Oreochromis niloticus: one gene and its partner. The protein of the gene in region 1 interacts with the protein of each later gene in a pairwise test. Links are inferred from orthologs where the notes say so. Each region holds a gene or a part of one and is shown in the gene's direction. Other genes may lie near its edges.

Region 1 (7,949 bases):
CCGACCCAGCCCTGGCCTATTCAATAAAATGTTTCAAATGAATGGTGGGTGAAGACAGTCAGCTATCTTAAGCAAAGAAAAAAAAGAAAAGAAAAATCAGAGCCCGTGTGCAAAACCACACGGATCATAATGTGCAATAACACGTTTTTAAGCATTAAGAATAATAAAAATGTGAAACATGCTGAAACTTATTAAAGTGGAAGTTTCATTAGGTTTTAGGTAATGTAGTTCAGCATTTACAGACGTAATTTTCCAGCTGCAGAGCAATTATTTTGTTAATTATAACTATAATGTGGGAGGTTTCTCTCACTAATCTGACATTAATGTAACGTTTGTTTATTTTCCTGCCCTAGGAAATTTTAAATGGCCTAATTTTGAAAGCTTAATTTTATACTCAGATTTTTACAGCGTAAATGAAAGAAGAAGAAAAAAAGCCAATAACATACTAGCCAGTGTACTTTCTATACACACATCGTTGTTCATCACGCTGTGAGAAACAACAGAAAAATGTATAGACTTATGTTAAGTCACAAAGACTCATTCCAAATGAGGGCAAAATTTTTATAGCAACAACAAAAAATGCCTATTTTGAGGGAGGAAAAGCAATATAGACATATAATATGTTAGTTATATTAAAAAAAGGGAAGATAATAGGTTAACTACTTATTAGTTTTCCTGCAGTATAGTTCATAAACTAGTAAGAACTTATAAAGGTTCTTTAGCTTCCTTTAGGGGTTGCCACAGTGGGTCATCTGCCTCCATCTCACCTTATCCCAACATCTTCCTCAATTTTGTGATTGTGCACTTCCTGGTTCTTTCTAATGAAAATCTAAACATGTTCAACTCCGCCACCGCCAGGTTGGCCTCCTGAGTCTTTATCAGTGCCATCTCATCTCAGGTCTCTCTACCATCATGTAAACCTTCACTTTCACTCTGCTGCTATCCTTCAGTCACAAATCACCCCTGACACTCATCACCACCAACTCCAACAGATACAATTGACTTTATAACAAAAAATTTCTATATTTTGTGCATATAGTTATCAACTGAAGTTAAAATAGGGCTAGATTGTACTTTTCTGTATTAACAGTTTGTTCCACAAGATGGTGTAGAAAGTCAACATGAGAGGAAGAGGAAATATGGAGAAGCAGAGGAAGCACCTGGAAAGTAACCGTTATCAGCAGCAGCAGCATCACCTCCCAAAGGGAAATCAAGTAAAAGAAGAGTAAACATAAGTGCAGCTTTCCACTGCTGGAGACAGCTCATTGAAAATACAGGAGTTAATGAGCATGCTGAGTATATTACTGGTATGATAAAAGCTCTTGGTGCTAATTTTCCCAGTCAAAAATAGCGATCAAGCAAGATATCTAATGCTATTTGCAGTGGGTGTGCTCTTATTGATATGTAATTTAGACAAAAGACAGTTGTGTCACTGTATGTGATCATCTCAGGTAGAGAGTATATCCAGATCTTTACTGGGGGATCTCAGGTACATTTTCTTACTACAGGAGCTGGTACTGCCCCCGGTGGTGAAAGTTCTAGTTAAAACGTCACAGCCCATTGTTCCTTCTGTGGGCTGGTTTCAGTCATTATGCAAATGTCCTGTTTATAAGGTTTGGGGAAACCTGCAGTCAGCTGAGACTGAAGAAGTCACTTGGATGAGTGACGAAACGTTTCTCCCACAAAACGCTACGTCCAGATGAACAGATTCAACTTTTGGAGAAAGTTCTAGTTACATTTTACAGAGGATGATTTCAAAAACACTTCTACTGTTGACACTATGTGACTATGCACCTCTCTTTGCTCACTGGTGATCCATAATATGCTGCAGACTTAAATCTTTTTAACAAACTATGTGATTATACAATTTCTAAATTGCCCTAAGCATTTTCTCTGCAAAACAAGAAAAAAATTTGACTGGCTCTTCATTGACTGCATTGTGTGAAGGCGTTTCCATGTTGAAATAGGTTGTGTAGTGCCACATGCACTACCCAACAGGGTCAAGAACATACAACTACAAATGGAGCCTTTTAGGAGACCAAAACTGGATAACAGATGCAATAAGACAAGACAGATAAGCTGGAAGAATAAAAAACTTGTTTTGTCCTGACAGCATGCATGGCAGCACAGTTTGTCACTCATAAATCAAACGTCCAAACATTGGCACAGTATGACACCCGGTACTCTGTCTCAAATGGATATGACCTTTACCTCATCATGGCATTCTTTAAACTGCCACAAGAAAAGAATACTATTAACATTGTTGTTATATTGTATTTATAGCAGTCTGAACTGTATACATTTTATTCAGTGTTAAAATACAGATTATACTACTGTAGACTCCAGTTTTATAATCGTGTTATTATAATAGCCCATGTTATAGACAAAAATAAATGAAAATCACTACCAAATACCCCAAAACAGTACAAACTAATAGATTTTTATGTTCCTTAATTAGGTGCGCTAAACTGAACAGATAAAGAATCATGATCCTCCCAAAATGAGGTCATAGCAGGAAAAATGCTTGCACAGGTTGCGGGATTCACCAAAATAAACATAGTTACATTGGCTGGAATGGAAAAAGATAAATTCTGATATCTTTCAGCATTTATCTGTTGTTTCAGCAATATCTCAGTATTCTTTCCCATCTCAATTAGTCCTGTTCTCTGCTTGCAACATTTCTGCAGATAAGATAACAACACTGAAAGTGCCTCTTCCTTGTTAGTTTGATAAAAAAAAACAACAACAACATAATGCCAGTACAATTTTTGCTCTTTAAATTATTTGATGTTTCCACATGTATTTGGACAGTGCCACACAGCAGATCATTGTGACAAGAAGAGTCCCTCCGCATACGTGTGCCACCAAAGACCCATCACCCACTGGGAGCTGGAAACTCACTGGATTGAGATCCTATAAGGCAAAAAGGGAAACAATTGAATGATTGAGTTTTGTTTTTTTAAATCACCTTTTCACTCAAGATTTGGTGAAATATTGTACACAATCACCTGCTGAGGCTTGACTTTAACCCAAGAACAAGTGCTTGAATTGCTGGCAGTGCATGGTGCATCCACAACTGTGTGAGGCTCTAAGCTGCTAAGCTGTGCACCTGGATAAGAGAAATAGTTTTAGAAGAAAGTGTTTCAGAAAGCCAAACTGAAAAGTCACATTTTTTAAGTCACATTTTTGTTTTTATACTATAAAGTTTTGATCATTAAAGTTATTATATGTATGCAACCTATCCACAACCACAAAACTGAAATAATTTGGTAATATTCATTGACACTCCACTTTCATAGAAAACAGATACAAATTTAGGATTTTACGCTCCGACATCATTTAGTTTAATTATGCAGTCACGTAAAATTATATTGCAAACAGTAAGGTTGATTTAATGTATTTCGTTAATTTGTTTCATTACACATCATGACACAACATTGCATTTTAAATACCACATTTGGTTTACATTGTTTTCTTTCTGTATAGATTTACATAGTGTCAGAAATTGCTATAAAATAAAATGAATCCACTTACATTTTTCTGTCCGCAGCAGCAGCTCTGGAGCTTCTATGTCAACAGATTTAAACATTTTTCCATCAAATGAGGGCTTGTGGTAGCGACCATGTATTGGAATTGTTACTTTGAATAACTTGGAAGTTGGTCCAGTGGAGAAAGGATACACATAGGTGACAAATCCTGAAGCTTCGTGAGCAGGAACCTCAAGGTCAATGGGTGAATCTAGTAATATCTTACAAAGTTTAACACAGAAATAATTAAATAAAACATATACACTGTGCACATGTTTTGTACATGACTGTGGTTTGTAGTAGAATTTTACACTGCGTTATACTACATCTAGTTGCTCGGTGTCTTACCTTCCACTTGTTTTGATCGCTAAGGGATGCAAGTTGATATGGATCAACATAGACATCTCTGGGCCATCTATGAATCAGCAAAACTTTGACACCACAGAGCTCTTTGGATCTGAACTCAACTGTAGTTGTCACCTCCCTAAAACATATTAGAAAATATCATTGATTCTCCTGACAAGTAGCCCCAAAGGCAGAACAGCTTTCTTTTGAGAAAACAAACAACCGAATACCTGTGGAAACCCTTTTTGTTGAGCTCCACTGTCACTGATGAGGGCGCAAGCCACTGCCTCAGAAGATCACAGTGATTCTGAATCTCATCTGCACAAATTAGCAGGTTACACTGATCAGTATCTCCAGGTAAAAGCTTTTTGAATTTGAACATGTATCTATATTTTTGGAAAATCGCAGGATGGGATTAAAGATGCATTTGTTTTTCAAACTATGCTAGATTATATATGTCATGTTATCCATACAGGGGTATATTTACAGCACTTTTTTGTCTACTGTAAAAATACTATTCCTTCCCTCAAACAAAAAAACCAAAAAAAACCCCCAACAACTTAATTTAAATGACCTTCAATCAATAATAATGAGAGCTTATTGAATGACTATCGAGTTTTCACATAGAACCTAGCTCACGTACCCTTTTCACCCAAACAGTGACATTTCGAGAATAAGCTCAACGCAGAAACAACACAGAACAGTTTAAAATACATTAAAAATATAATGGCCAACGCTGAGACGCGTTTATAGGCTGTTTATTTAACTCAAGCACAGCTACCACCGCTTAAGCGCTTCTTTGAAGTGTTTACGGAAGATGATTTTTTGAAGGCCCCTTTTGTAGTTTCAGGGAGCCTGCAAATGTGCCTGTGTAGAGATTGAAAAACACAAGCTTTTAAGGAAACATTTAGTAACATTTATAGACATAGAAAGCAGTTTTCAGGAATAAAATGAATAATAATGATACGTGAAAGTTAAATGATTTTATATTAATTTTTTAAATCCGAAATTTAGCGTCAGGCATCCCAACAAACAGAAGCGTCTTTACGTAAAGGCTCTGCTGGCAACCTGGCAACGCGTAATCATCCCTGAAGCCGCTGCTCGATTTTTTTTTATTCATACTGTGCGCTAGTAGCAATAATTATGGCTGCGATGTTTCTGTTTTAAACATGTTTAAATTGATGGTCGGATTGGGTTAAGTTTGTTTGTTGTAATAGAAGTACAGGATGCGTTTTGCGGCAAAGCGCTGCGGGGTGCAGTTCAGCCCTCCATCCATAGTTTTAATTTATGAGCACACGGAAACCAAAAAGGTGCGAAAAAGAATAATACCTGTGCGAAATTTCTCCAAATACTCCGGTAAGGCACCACGGACACATTGGGACTCGTTCTCTGTGCTCCATGTCACATGTTACAAGGTAGCTACAATCAGTGTGAGAATATTATTTTAGCCTCGTTTGCTGTATATTAATAATTATATAATACTCTAGTAAATCTAACAAATCTGTCAGAGTCATGAGGCCCTGAAGTTTTGATTTCTATATCTCGTGGATAGCAGCAGGTGGATTACCTGCAAGCTGCTGAGCCTCAGGCTCCTATTTCTGACTAAAATAGGAGCATCTTACTTTGTTTAACTAAGGTCATTGCTAGTGAGTGTTAATAATAAATAACTAATATGTAATACATGGAAACATACATTTATCGTTCTGCGTTTTTTCCTTCCTGTTTTTGTTAGTCCATTTTTTGAGACATAGGTACTGTGATCAGAGCTGGAGTCGTGAATGCACACTGCATTAACATATGTATGTAGCTTATTTTGTTCTTGTAGATTGCCACGAAGTAGCTGGGCAGGACTACAACCATCCTATTACCTCATGCCGTCTCTTCCAGACTACAGCATGGCTGCTGAAAGGCTGAAGAACAACCCTCGACACAGGGACTACCTGGAGGGTGTCTCTCAGAGCCAGCTTGAGAAGCTTCACATTATCCTACGCGATCACATGCAGGGCTTCAGTCTGGAGCACAGCCTCTCCTCGTTCTGTCTGGACCCTGACGAAGACCTGAACAAACTGGACGATGAGGAGCTGGCACGCAAGAAAGGCCAAATGGACGAACTGTTTGAGAAAAACCGGAGGCACAAAGATGATCCTGACTTTGTTTACAACTTGGAAGTTGATTTCACTAAGACCACCTTAGAAAAGTGCAGCTGGGATGAAGAATCAGATGATGGATTTTAAAACTCTCTCTTCATCAATGTTTTAATTAAGAATGTAGATGTAAATCTATAGTGAGACTGCAGGAACATACAACCCAACTGTTGTAGATGGCAATGCTTCAATAAACGTCAATATAGTAGAAACACTATGCCTTTAATGACAAAAAAACCACCATGAACCTCCCTTAATGGCAAGCAAAGACCAAAGCCTGTTAATCAAGGGAAACTAGAGCTATGATTTTGTGTCTGTGTACCATAGCATTAATCTGTAAAAAACAAAACAAAAATAAAATAAAGGCATAAATGGTCATTAGGTAAGGTAACAATAGTAACTGTTACTATTGGTTTGATCCAGTTAGTCATAATTTATTTCACTTGAATGCTTCTTGATAGACAAAGTTAGGATATTTCTGGAATCCTGTAGTAAGTTATTTTTATTATATTTTTTAAAGACAGACCATTTCTTCAGCTGTAGCCTCATGGGCACTAAAATATATCTTAAAAAACAAGACTGTTTACTTATGGATTTTAAAGTCATAGCCTGGTCCAGTAATACGTTAGGTGATTTACAGATGTCAAGTTTCAAATCTGACACTTTTTAGAGGTGACTTCAATGCTGTCAGCAGAAATGTTGATTGTGCACGAGCTCTTAGTCACAACCAATAGAGATATTAAATTTACAACATCCAGTGACTGCAGTCTCTAACACTGATGACATAAAAGCACCTGTTTTAAGGCAAATTACTACACCCGAGATACTGTTACCCAAGTAACTAACCCATAGTTTAAGTTCGTTAAGCGTTTCCCTCAGGTAAGGGTTAATAAACTCCATTTTCATTAACTTGCTTTCGGGAACAGGCCTCCAGCAACACCTAAACTTCAGTCATGAAATGAAACAGGCACAGAGTCTAGAGGAACATTTCTAAATCAGGGGAAACAAAACCAAACAATGTTTGAGAACAACCTGATAATATAATGATAACAAACATAAAATTCCGTTTTAAGGTGCAATAAACAAAATTATGCATGGATAATAGTGAATCTTTATTTGTTATAAAATACTGAATTTTACAAAATACAAAGACTTTGGTTCTTTTATTTGTGGCTTACACCTAGATGAGTGATATTCACAGTTGAATATGAAAAGAAGATTCTAAAATCCTATTAAATAAAATCTGAGTGTACACCAGGAAGTAAGCAATACAACAAATATATCTTTGGGAAAAAAAAAATGTGTCCACAAAATAGTTTTATATCATACAAAATATATATACTTCCATATATATGGTTTGACATGATGTTCTATGGCAAAAGTTTTAAAAGAGATAAACTATATCATAAAACTAAGCCTGCATTATCAAACCTTTTAAGGGGAAAATGTCATTCAAAGTGCTTAAATACCTCATTCAGTTGACAATAGACACTGACTGACTGACTGACCATTAGTACCACAATACATTCAAAGATGTCGCAGGTTTTTGTTAAAATGCAATACAGAATGATTTTACATTGCTTTGCTAGTTTGGTTTAAGCTAATCAAAACAGTTTTTTACATTGTTATCAATTGCAGTCATTTTTGCAGTGCCGATGTATTCCCTAAGGAGGTAGTAACAAAAAAAAAAAAAACCTGACAATTCCTTTTCCCATCACCATTTACACATGGATTTGGGCAACTGAATTGTAAATTCTCAGCAGGCTGTTAATTTATTTAAAAGTCATTTATAAAACTGATATTTCAAGTATGCTTAAGACACAATCCGGGTTTTTGAGTTTCTTTTTACACACACACGCGCGCGCCTGACACACACACTCTCACACACAAAGCAAATGACTTAAGAGGAACAACTTTCTGAATGACAATTTGT
Region 2 (7,628 bases), on another chromosome or scaffold:
AGAGACGTGCCGCAGTGGGGCTTAATTTAAAACCAGAAAGGTCACTGCACCAGGAAAGGTCCTCAGCTCAGCCAAAAATATAAAATGAGGAGGAGAAAAAGAAAGCAGTGGGGGAGGAAGAGTGGGCCAAGAAAAAGAGCAAAATGAAAGGAGATTAGAGAATGCCGACAGGGAAGGGGGGAACCCAAGCAGGAGGAAACATGTTCAAATAATTTGGAAAGAGTGTCATGGAAGGAAGGACAAAAACTCTAAAGTACTGAGGAAGGAGAAAACTGAGAGGATAATGAACGGAATTGCAATTGAACTGGAACAAGTTTTTGTTTACTTTAATGGTGTTTTTGCAAGTGATTTGTTATAATTGTGCACAATTTGAGGGAAAAGTACTGCATCAACACACAGTGAAGGACTGCCAATCTGTCCAACAATCTGTGTTGGCAGAAACAACCCTCCCCAAGCCTTTGCTGAATTAGGCTCTCCATGCTTTGGACTTGACCAGAGTACTAATGGTCAGATGGGAAATTAGCTTTGGCATATGCAACTCAGCAAAAAAATAGGTGCAACTCTGAAAACCGTGTCTCCAGTTCAGTCTGTCTACGTGAGATGCTGTATCTTGATCTGGCCAAGAGATGCATGTCATGTGTTGGACTCTGCCTTGTTAACAATAATAAACCACTAAAGTGTCCCTCCCCCCAACACACAGGGCATTCCACAAACTAAGATTCTGGTCTTCAATCACTTCTTTATCTATCAGCTCACTTTAATTGTCCACTGGGTTTTTGACTGCACCACATTACATAAAAGCACAGTGGGGCCTCATGGCAGTAGCACGTCAGCCTATGATGTAAAGCCTCGCGGTTTGCACAGATAAGACGAGTTCAATTTTAATGTTGCTAGCACACCGAGACGCACCAGGCTCACTTGTAAAACAGAATGCCCCCTTCGCTTGTAAACGCAGCAGCCCAAGAGGAGGAAAGAGATGGGGGTTGGGAACACTGAGGTGGGGCTGAATTAAAACGACGAGAGGTATTCCACTTGTCCAACTCCAGCAATCCATCCAATGGATCAATTTTTTTTCTCTCTCAAATTCCCAATCCACTCACCATCCCTTTTAAAAACTAATACCCAATTCCAATCACAGCTGCAGTAAAGCATATCTTGTAAAAGGTCATAGTGTGACCTCCGAGTTCTCTAAATTGGATGCTGGTTGGCCCACTTTTCTTTGAAATACCGCACAGCCTAATATAAAAGTGCCCTGTGCACATTCACATTACCAGTGGGACCTGCATCCAGCACATCAGTAGGTGTTCACATTGATGTGAAGTGTCACAGCACAGAGAATTTTACAAGATATTGGATGTTTTTGTTGAGGGAAACGCGAACCAGAACCTAAACATAAACTACAACATGGGGGCCCAGGAATTATCTGGGATAGGTGTATCTGCGTGTGCATGTGTGCTTGCCATAGGCAACATACCGGCATATAGTGGAGCATCTCTCTGCAGCCAGCCAAGGGAACTGATCAGATGGACGATCAAACACTAATCATTCCCTCACGGCCCATACCGAGTAAAGCTGTCATTAATTTTGCGGAATTACATCAAATCTGAGACATTCTTTATGTGGCCCACGGCCTGCAGACAGTTATACGACAGGGACTGCTGCGCTAAGCAGATGGGGCAGCTTGGCCGTGCATACTAAATACCACTGTCCCCCATTTCTCTACCTCCACCCTCCCAACACTCTACCCTCCTTCTAGGCACTCTGCTTCCGCTCTTCTTTCTTTGTTTTCTACCTTGTAATGCCTTTCTTTGACTATATCTTAAAACAAGCAAACATCACTACAAAACACAGTAACTACCATTATTAAAGTCAAAACTGCCCGTATAGTTTTAAATAATACCCAGCCAGAAAAAAAAAAAATGCCGCCAACTTATATTCTCGGTTTTATTCCCACGCAAGACACGTTACCCATTAACTTAGTATGATGAGAAAATAAATTGTTTACTGACATAAATCTTTAATGTTTGTCTCTTGGATCTTGACAACTCTAACAATTTGCTTGGCTATACACAACAGAAGGTCATAATCCCATTTGAGGTTTCCTTGGCAACTGATTACTGCTGAAGGCTAGTTGCAATTTATGACTAGTGACACATACCTGCCATTCCCTTTGAATGAGACATGTGGTAAGCTATATTCAGACAAACCACCTCAGGTAATAAAACTGCAGTAGCACTCAGGGGCTATACCATTTTCTAGCATTGAGAGAAATTCCAAGCCAAGCTGCTAGAAATCAGCAGATGACAGGGATTAAATTTGTGTGGAGTACTTCCACAACAGATAAATAAACAACATGTTGAAAGTTTTGTGCCAGAACACTATTTTTTCCCCCAACCTAACGCCTCGAAGTGTGAATGTTAGCTATCTCCTTCCAAAAAACAAAAAAGAGCTGTAAATTCACACGGTCAGCATAACTGCATGTGTGCGCAAGTTTGCAGGGTAGAGGTGGGATGTTATGATAGGCAGAGGAGCCATAACAGCAGGCAGCCAGGTCAAGATCAAGCAGTTTCATGGACAATCCACTTTAAGTCTAGTCTCTATTATGGTGAAGCCTTCACATTCCTACTGCACAACCGTCTTCTAATTTTACACAACAATGACGCTTCAAAGTCAAGGCTATGTGAAATCAGACACAACACTATCATAAAATAAAGTAAAATAAAATAAAATAAAATAAAATAAAATAAAATAAAATAAAATAAAATAAAAAATACAGTGGCACAAAGCCAGTAGAAATAAGCATATAGGATTAATTCATAAACAATACTTATGCTAGTATTTTTGGTATATCTGATTTTTCTGTGTTCCAGGGAACTCGTGATTTTAAAAAATGGCAAAAGCAAGACATCCACACTGAATTATGTTGATGAATACAACAGAAGAAATCTTTTTTTTAAATAATACCTAAGCCTAAAGACGCATGTAAACAGTGGCTACTGAATAAGCCAGTCATCACAGTAGAACCTATTTAATTATCCCACTGTGAGAGCGAGCCACTATTTCCATCACCACTTTGCTCACACAGGCTCAGCACACTATTAATCCACTTAAACACAATTTATAGGGTCTCAGCATTGACTGTCCGTCGGCATAAAATTACATGAAGCATCCTTATAGTGTCGTCAACAGACTAAATTAGCCAAACTGGACTTACTAATTGAGGAGGAGTAAAGTATTGTGTGACTGGAGTGTCTCATCAATGAGCAGAGATAAATAGGCTGGCTATGGGCAATGAGGTAACATCAATAACTATAATAATACAGGCTGAGCATTATTTAACTTGTGGTTGTGGAGGACTAATAACCTTTAATAGAGAATGCTAACTTTTAATTTCCATTTCTGTTAAATAGGTTTTTGTTATTGATGGCTTTTTGCAGTTAAAGACTTCTTTGCCATTTTAACTCTAATTTAAATTTAAATCATTTAATATAATCAGTTCAACTAAAACCAGTATTTTAATGTTTTTTTTAATTAAAAATATCAAAATAACACATTGTGAACCCAGATAGACAATACTACTACTGTAGCCTTGAGACATATCTGCACAGCCATATTTGCATTTCTCTTCTGATATATCTGCAAAATGAAATCTATGAATTAAGGCAAAGCTAGAGATGGTGAACCCAGGCTTTGTTTTTAAAATTTGCAGCATAGAGAGACAGTGTATCCCCCTTTATCTTGTATCTAATAGTGAAAGGACAAAAAGGCTGTGATATATTTTCATTGTGGGCTTAAAAGACCGCACTGTCTGCTTAGACTTGCATGTTTAATTTTGGTTTTCAAGATGGTATACTGCCATCTGCTGCCCGGCACTGTAACCTCGTCATGCGCTCTATTTGTCCTCATGTTTGAAGACGTTGTGGGATATCAGGCTTATCCTAAAGAAATTGCCAAATTGGGGCGCTTCCAAAATGCAGGATCACTGGATTATTTTGGAAAATGTTTTTGGCTAAAATCCGAATTCCCCTCCATTAAATCTGGAACGTGGGCTGACGTCAGAGGATCTGCTGTGGTTCCTGATTTACCTCATCAAAGTACAGATGATACATGAAGTGGAAAAGGCTCCCGTGGGACACTGATTTAAAACTAAAATAAATAGGCAAAAACTATACAACCTGTAATACTTTACCATCAAATTAAATAACCGTCATATTGCGAAGTCTACCAACTGTATGGAAAATAATGCGCAGATTTGTTTACAGCGCAATATAGCAAATATTTATGAACTCGAACAATCACTACACATAAAAACATCCGTTTTCATTATTACATCCGCTACGTGTGTCTTCCTCTCATCGCAAATAACACACACTCTTTCCATTGGTGAATGAGCAGGACAGCCGCGGTTTGGCAGATATCCGATGCGAAAAACAACGGCGGCCGATGAGACGCGTCAGATTACATTCAGCGGATCTGTTAGTCTACTGTGACCCTGGGGGTTGTAGTTTAAAAAGGGGTATCTCGGCGTAGTTTCAGCTACGTTGTGAACAACAGCTCCCATAATTCCACGGTGCAGAAGAAGCTGTCGTGCTTGTGTTTTGCTTTGGCTTTTTTGTTGTTATTTCGCGTTGTTGGTCCAGCTGAGCTCCGTGAGGAAAGCGAGTCTGCATCGGCCGTGTTTTTTCGTGGGTTTCTTGAGGACTGTCAGTCCAGTACCTCGCACATAGAGGGCTCCTTTAGATCGTCTGCAGAGGGCTGAGGACCGTAAAGGTAACAAAGACATCAGAAACGGGTCGAGATAATGTGCGCAGATCTCTTTTGGTAGTTAACAAAGCCCTGCATTGTCTCTTATTATTTGCATTCCCATCAAATTAACAAATATAACTAACGTGCACGGATTCAGGTCTTTCCGTAGTGGCTGTGATTGTTTGTTTGTCATCTTAAAGCTTTCATCGACGGGCATGACACACTGTTTTCTTGACATGTGCTACTGTTGGGCCTTAAGCCTCGTGCCATGTAAAACGAGTCCACGGAAAAGCTATTTTGATCACTGGTGCATTGTTTTACGCACTGTCTGTATTTTATCTTGTCCGTATTTACATGAGAAACTATTCGTACCTTATGTAGGTTTTGGGTGTTTCACAAAAAATAGAAAACTTTTATCATCTGTGATTATTGACTGTACCACAGGGGATAAATACAAAGTACAGAAGAGTCAAAGTTAATCCAAGTTTAAAGAACATGCTTGTTGTAAATCCTCATTGGGTTTATTGTGCGCTTGCTTTATTTTTGTTCCTTTTGAAAATCTCATCATACTTGTCTCTACTGCTCTATTAAAATGTATATTTACCATGTGTTTCACCTTGTTTGTGTAACAGTGTACCATCACATCATAAATGTTGCCTATACCATAGTTATTACGCCACACACAAAAATAATGCTTTCTGTAGGCAAGCAGTGTGGTTAACTGCAGGGATACCACAAGTTCGTGGGAAGTAACCACTAGTGGAATCTGAGCCCATATACTGCATGCCTACACGTGACGCTGTATAATAGCAAATGATTTTGAAGATGACTGAAATAGCCCCCGGTGACAACCTGTGTAACGTGTCGTGTTGCCTGAAGACCATGCTGTCACTGAGGATTAGTTCTGCATCGGTGCTGTTTCCTTAAGTGTGCACTCAGTCTAGATCTTACACTGAACAAAAATATTCACACACTTGGGGCCTCTTGTTTGTTCAGCAGTGACCACCTCTTACCTATATCCCAGAAATAGCTGTGTAATGTAATGTGTAATGTAACTGTGCATGTTGGTTTGTAGGTTGATTTTGGGTTTGTTTTTTTTTTCCTTCTTTTCTTTCTTGTAGGTGCAATAGAGCATTTGTTTTGTGTTGCCATGGATAAGGATTGGCAGGTGGAGTTTAGAAACGTGGGCTGCAGCTACTTTCCTGAGAGCAGAGTCGACTGCCACTACACGCTGAGCTCACGGCACATATGGGCCAGTAATGATTGGATAGGGCTCTTCAAGGTATTGCTATTCTGATGAATTTCTCGAAAAGCAACTAAATAAATAATATCCAACTTAAAGTTAACACTGTGCACACATTTTCTTCTTCAGGAGGGATGGACATCAGTAAAGGACTACCACACCTTTGTATGGGCGCTAGCCCCGGCTGACTACCAAGAGGGCACAGATGTCAACTGCTGTGTTCAGTTTCAGGGTATTCATACATTTGTTTTCTAACTGTGTTTACTTCCCATAGTCACACAGGATCTGTACTAGATCAGCACATAAAACCTTCAGCAGGAGATTGATGCCTCTGTAAAATGAATTGCTCTGTTATTTACAAAATGCTAGCGAATCACATACTGAGTGGAAGCAAATGTTTATTTCTATCTTAAAATAATTCTTCAGCAGAAAAAAGGGGGAAAAATCCTGTGCACAAGACAAATATCTAACTTAGCTTGGTTTCTAACAGAGACACTCTCTGTCATGGTTTGAATTCATTTCTTTAGTAAGCAGGAGGTTGAGTAATGAGGATGACAAAGACAATGGCCCAAAGGCTGCTCTGCTGACTGCTGCTGCTCACTGGAGAATACAGTGTTCACTTTGTCCTGTGTGTCAGGGGCAGCTGATAAGCCTGATTGAGGGTGAGGGGCACGTGTACAGCAGGTGTGGCATTGACCCCTGGTAAAGTGATTTATCGCTAACTTAAACATACTGTCAATGTCATTCTTCAGTACAGAGAAAGGAAACTAAAGAAAGTACTGATGGTTCCTTATCAGCAGCAATGCAGTGATTTAAAAAGAAGGTCGCCTCTTCTGTGACCTTAGCCGGTGCTCGAAGTTGAAATACAGCTCATAAACTTTACCGTATGTCATTCCCTCTGTCTGTTTTCTATCTTGGCCCTTTACTGTAGCTGTATTGTGAAACAGTAATTCTAAGTAAATCACTCCAAACATGAAGCAATGGTCTGTGTGAGATAATGATATTAGATCAGCTTACTTTATAGGCTGGAAGGAGTCACAGACTAAGGCTGACTGCTTTGTGGTCAGTGTGGGAGGCAGGAGGTGTATCCTCATCAGTTCCAGTATGCTTGGTTAAAGGTGCATGAAAAGGAAACAGAATCAGGAGTTTGGTGATAGTGAAAGTCTTAAAGTTATGCAAGTAGCACAGCTGGTCTGAAAAGCAGTTATTTTGCTCTCAAAATTTGTAAGCCTTCAACTTTATGAGAGACATTCTTATGCCAAACAGTGATTGCTGATGTGTTTTTATGACTAATATCTTTGCTTATATTGGTAGATAGGCTGTAGTCAACAGGATTTATGAAGTGGTTACGTACAAAATAAAGAAATGACCTGTTCTGCAAGTGTCTTTTAACTCAGCATTATCGTACCCACTCTGTGCTCTACATTTTAATCAATCCAGTCCTTTTGGGCCACTTAAAATATCTTTATAGATCTGTTATGTTATATTTGTTGCAATTTCTCCTGCCCTCTTGGCCAGCTCTCTTTTGAAGAAGACATTTTTACTGTCAACGATAGTTTTTACATCGATTCATAAAGGATATATAAAAGTCACTTTGCCAAAAACTGATTGTAGCTTCTACTTTGTGACAGGAATTTTC

What was found. The genes of interacting proteins can lie anywhere in the genome.
Region 2: the proteins of cep19 (region 1) and calcoco1a interact in binary tests that used the Homo sapiens proteins (3 or more experiments, as listed by UniProt). The two-hybrid records come from large-scale screens. The link is inferred for Oreochromis niloticus from reciprocal best matches to the Homo sapiens genes CEP19 and CALCOCO1.

Annotation. Positions count from the first base shown.
Region 1 is NC_031986.2:38,135,719-38,143,667, reverse strand, and holds cep19 (centrosomal protein of 19 kDa), read left to right. Parts: upstream 1-4,924; 5' UTR 4,925-5,098; coding exon 5,099-5,228; exon of another isoform or gene 5,229-5,270; coding exon of another isoform or gene 5,271-5,287; intron 5,288-5,604; exon of another isoform or gene 5,605-5,679; coding exon of another isoform or gene 5,680-5,759; coding exon 5,760-6,106; 3' UTR 6,107-7,578; downstream 7,579-7,949. Other genes in the region: pigx (phosphatidylinositol-glycan biosynthesis class X protein), read right to left, coding at 2,776-2,913, 3,009-3,109, 3,535-3,748, 3,876-4,011, 4,103-4,190, 4,516-4,588. UniProt on the Homo sapiens protein: Required for ciliation. Recruits the RABL2B GTPase to the ciliary base to initiate ciliation.
Region 2 is NC_031984.2:19,325,716-19,333,343, forward strand, and holds the start of calcoco1a (calcium-binding and coiled-coil domain-containing protein 1), read left to right. Parts: upstream 1-4,563; 5' UTR 4,564-4,770; intron 4,771-5,867; 5' UTR 5,868-5,896; coding exon 5,897-6,028; intron 6,029-6,118; coding exon 6,119-6,221; intron 6,222-7,006; exon of another isoform or gene 7,007-7,096; intron 7,097-7,628. UniProt on the Homo sapiens protein: Functions as a coactivator for aryl hydrocarbon and nuclear receptors (NR). Recruited to promoters through its contact with the N-terminal basic helix-loop-helix-Per-Arnt-Sim (PAS) domain of transcription factors or coactivators, such as NCOA2.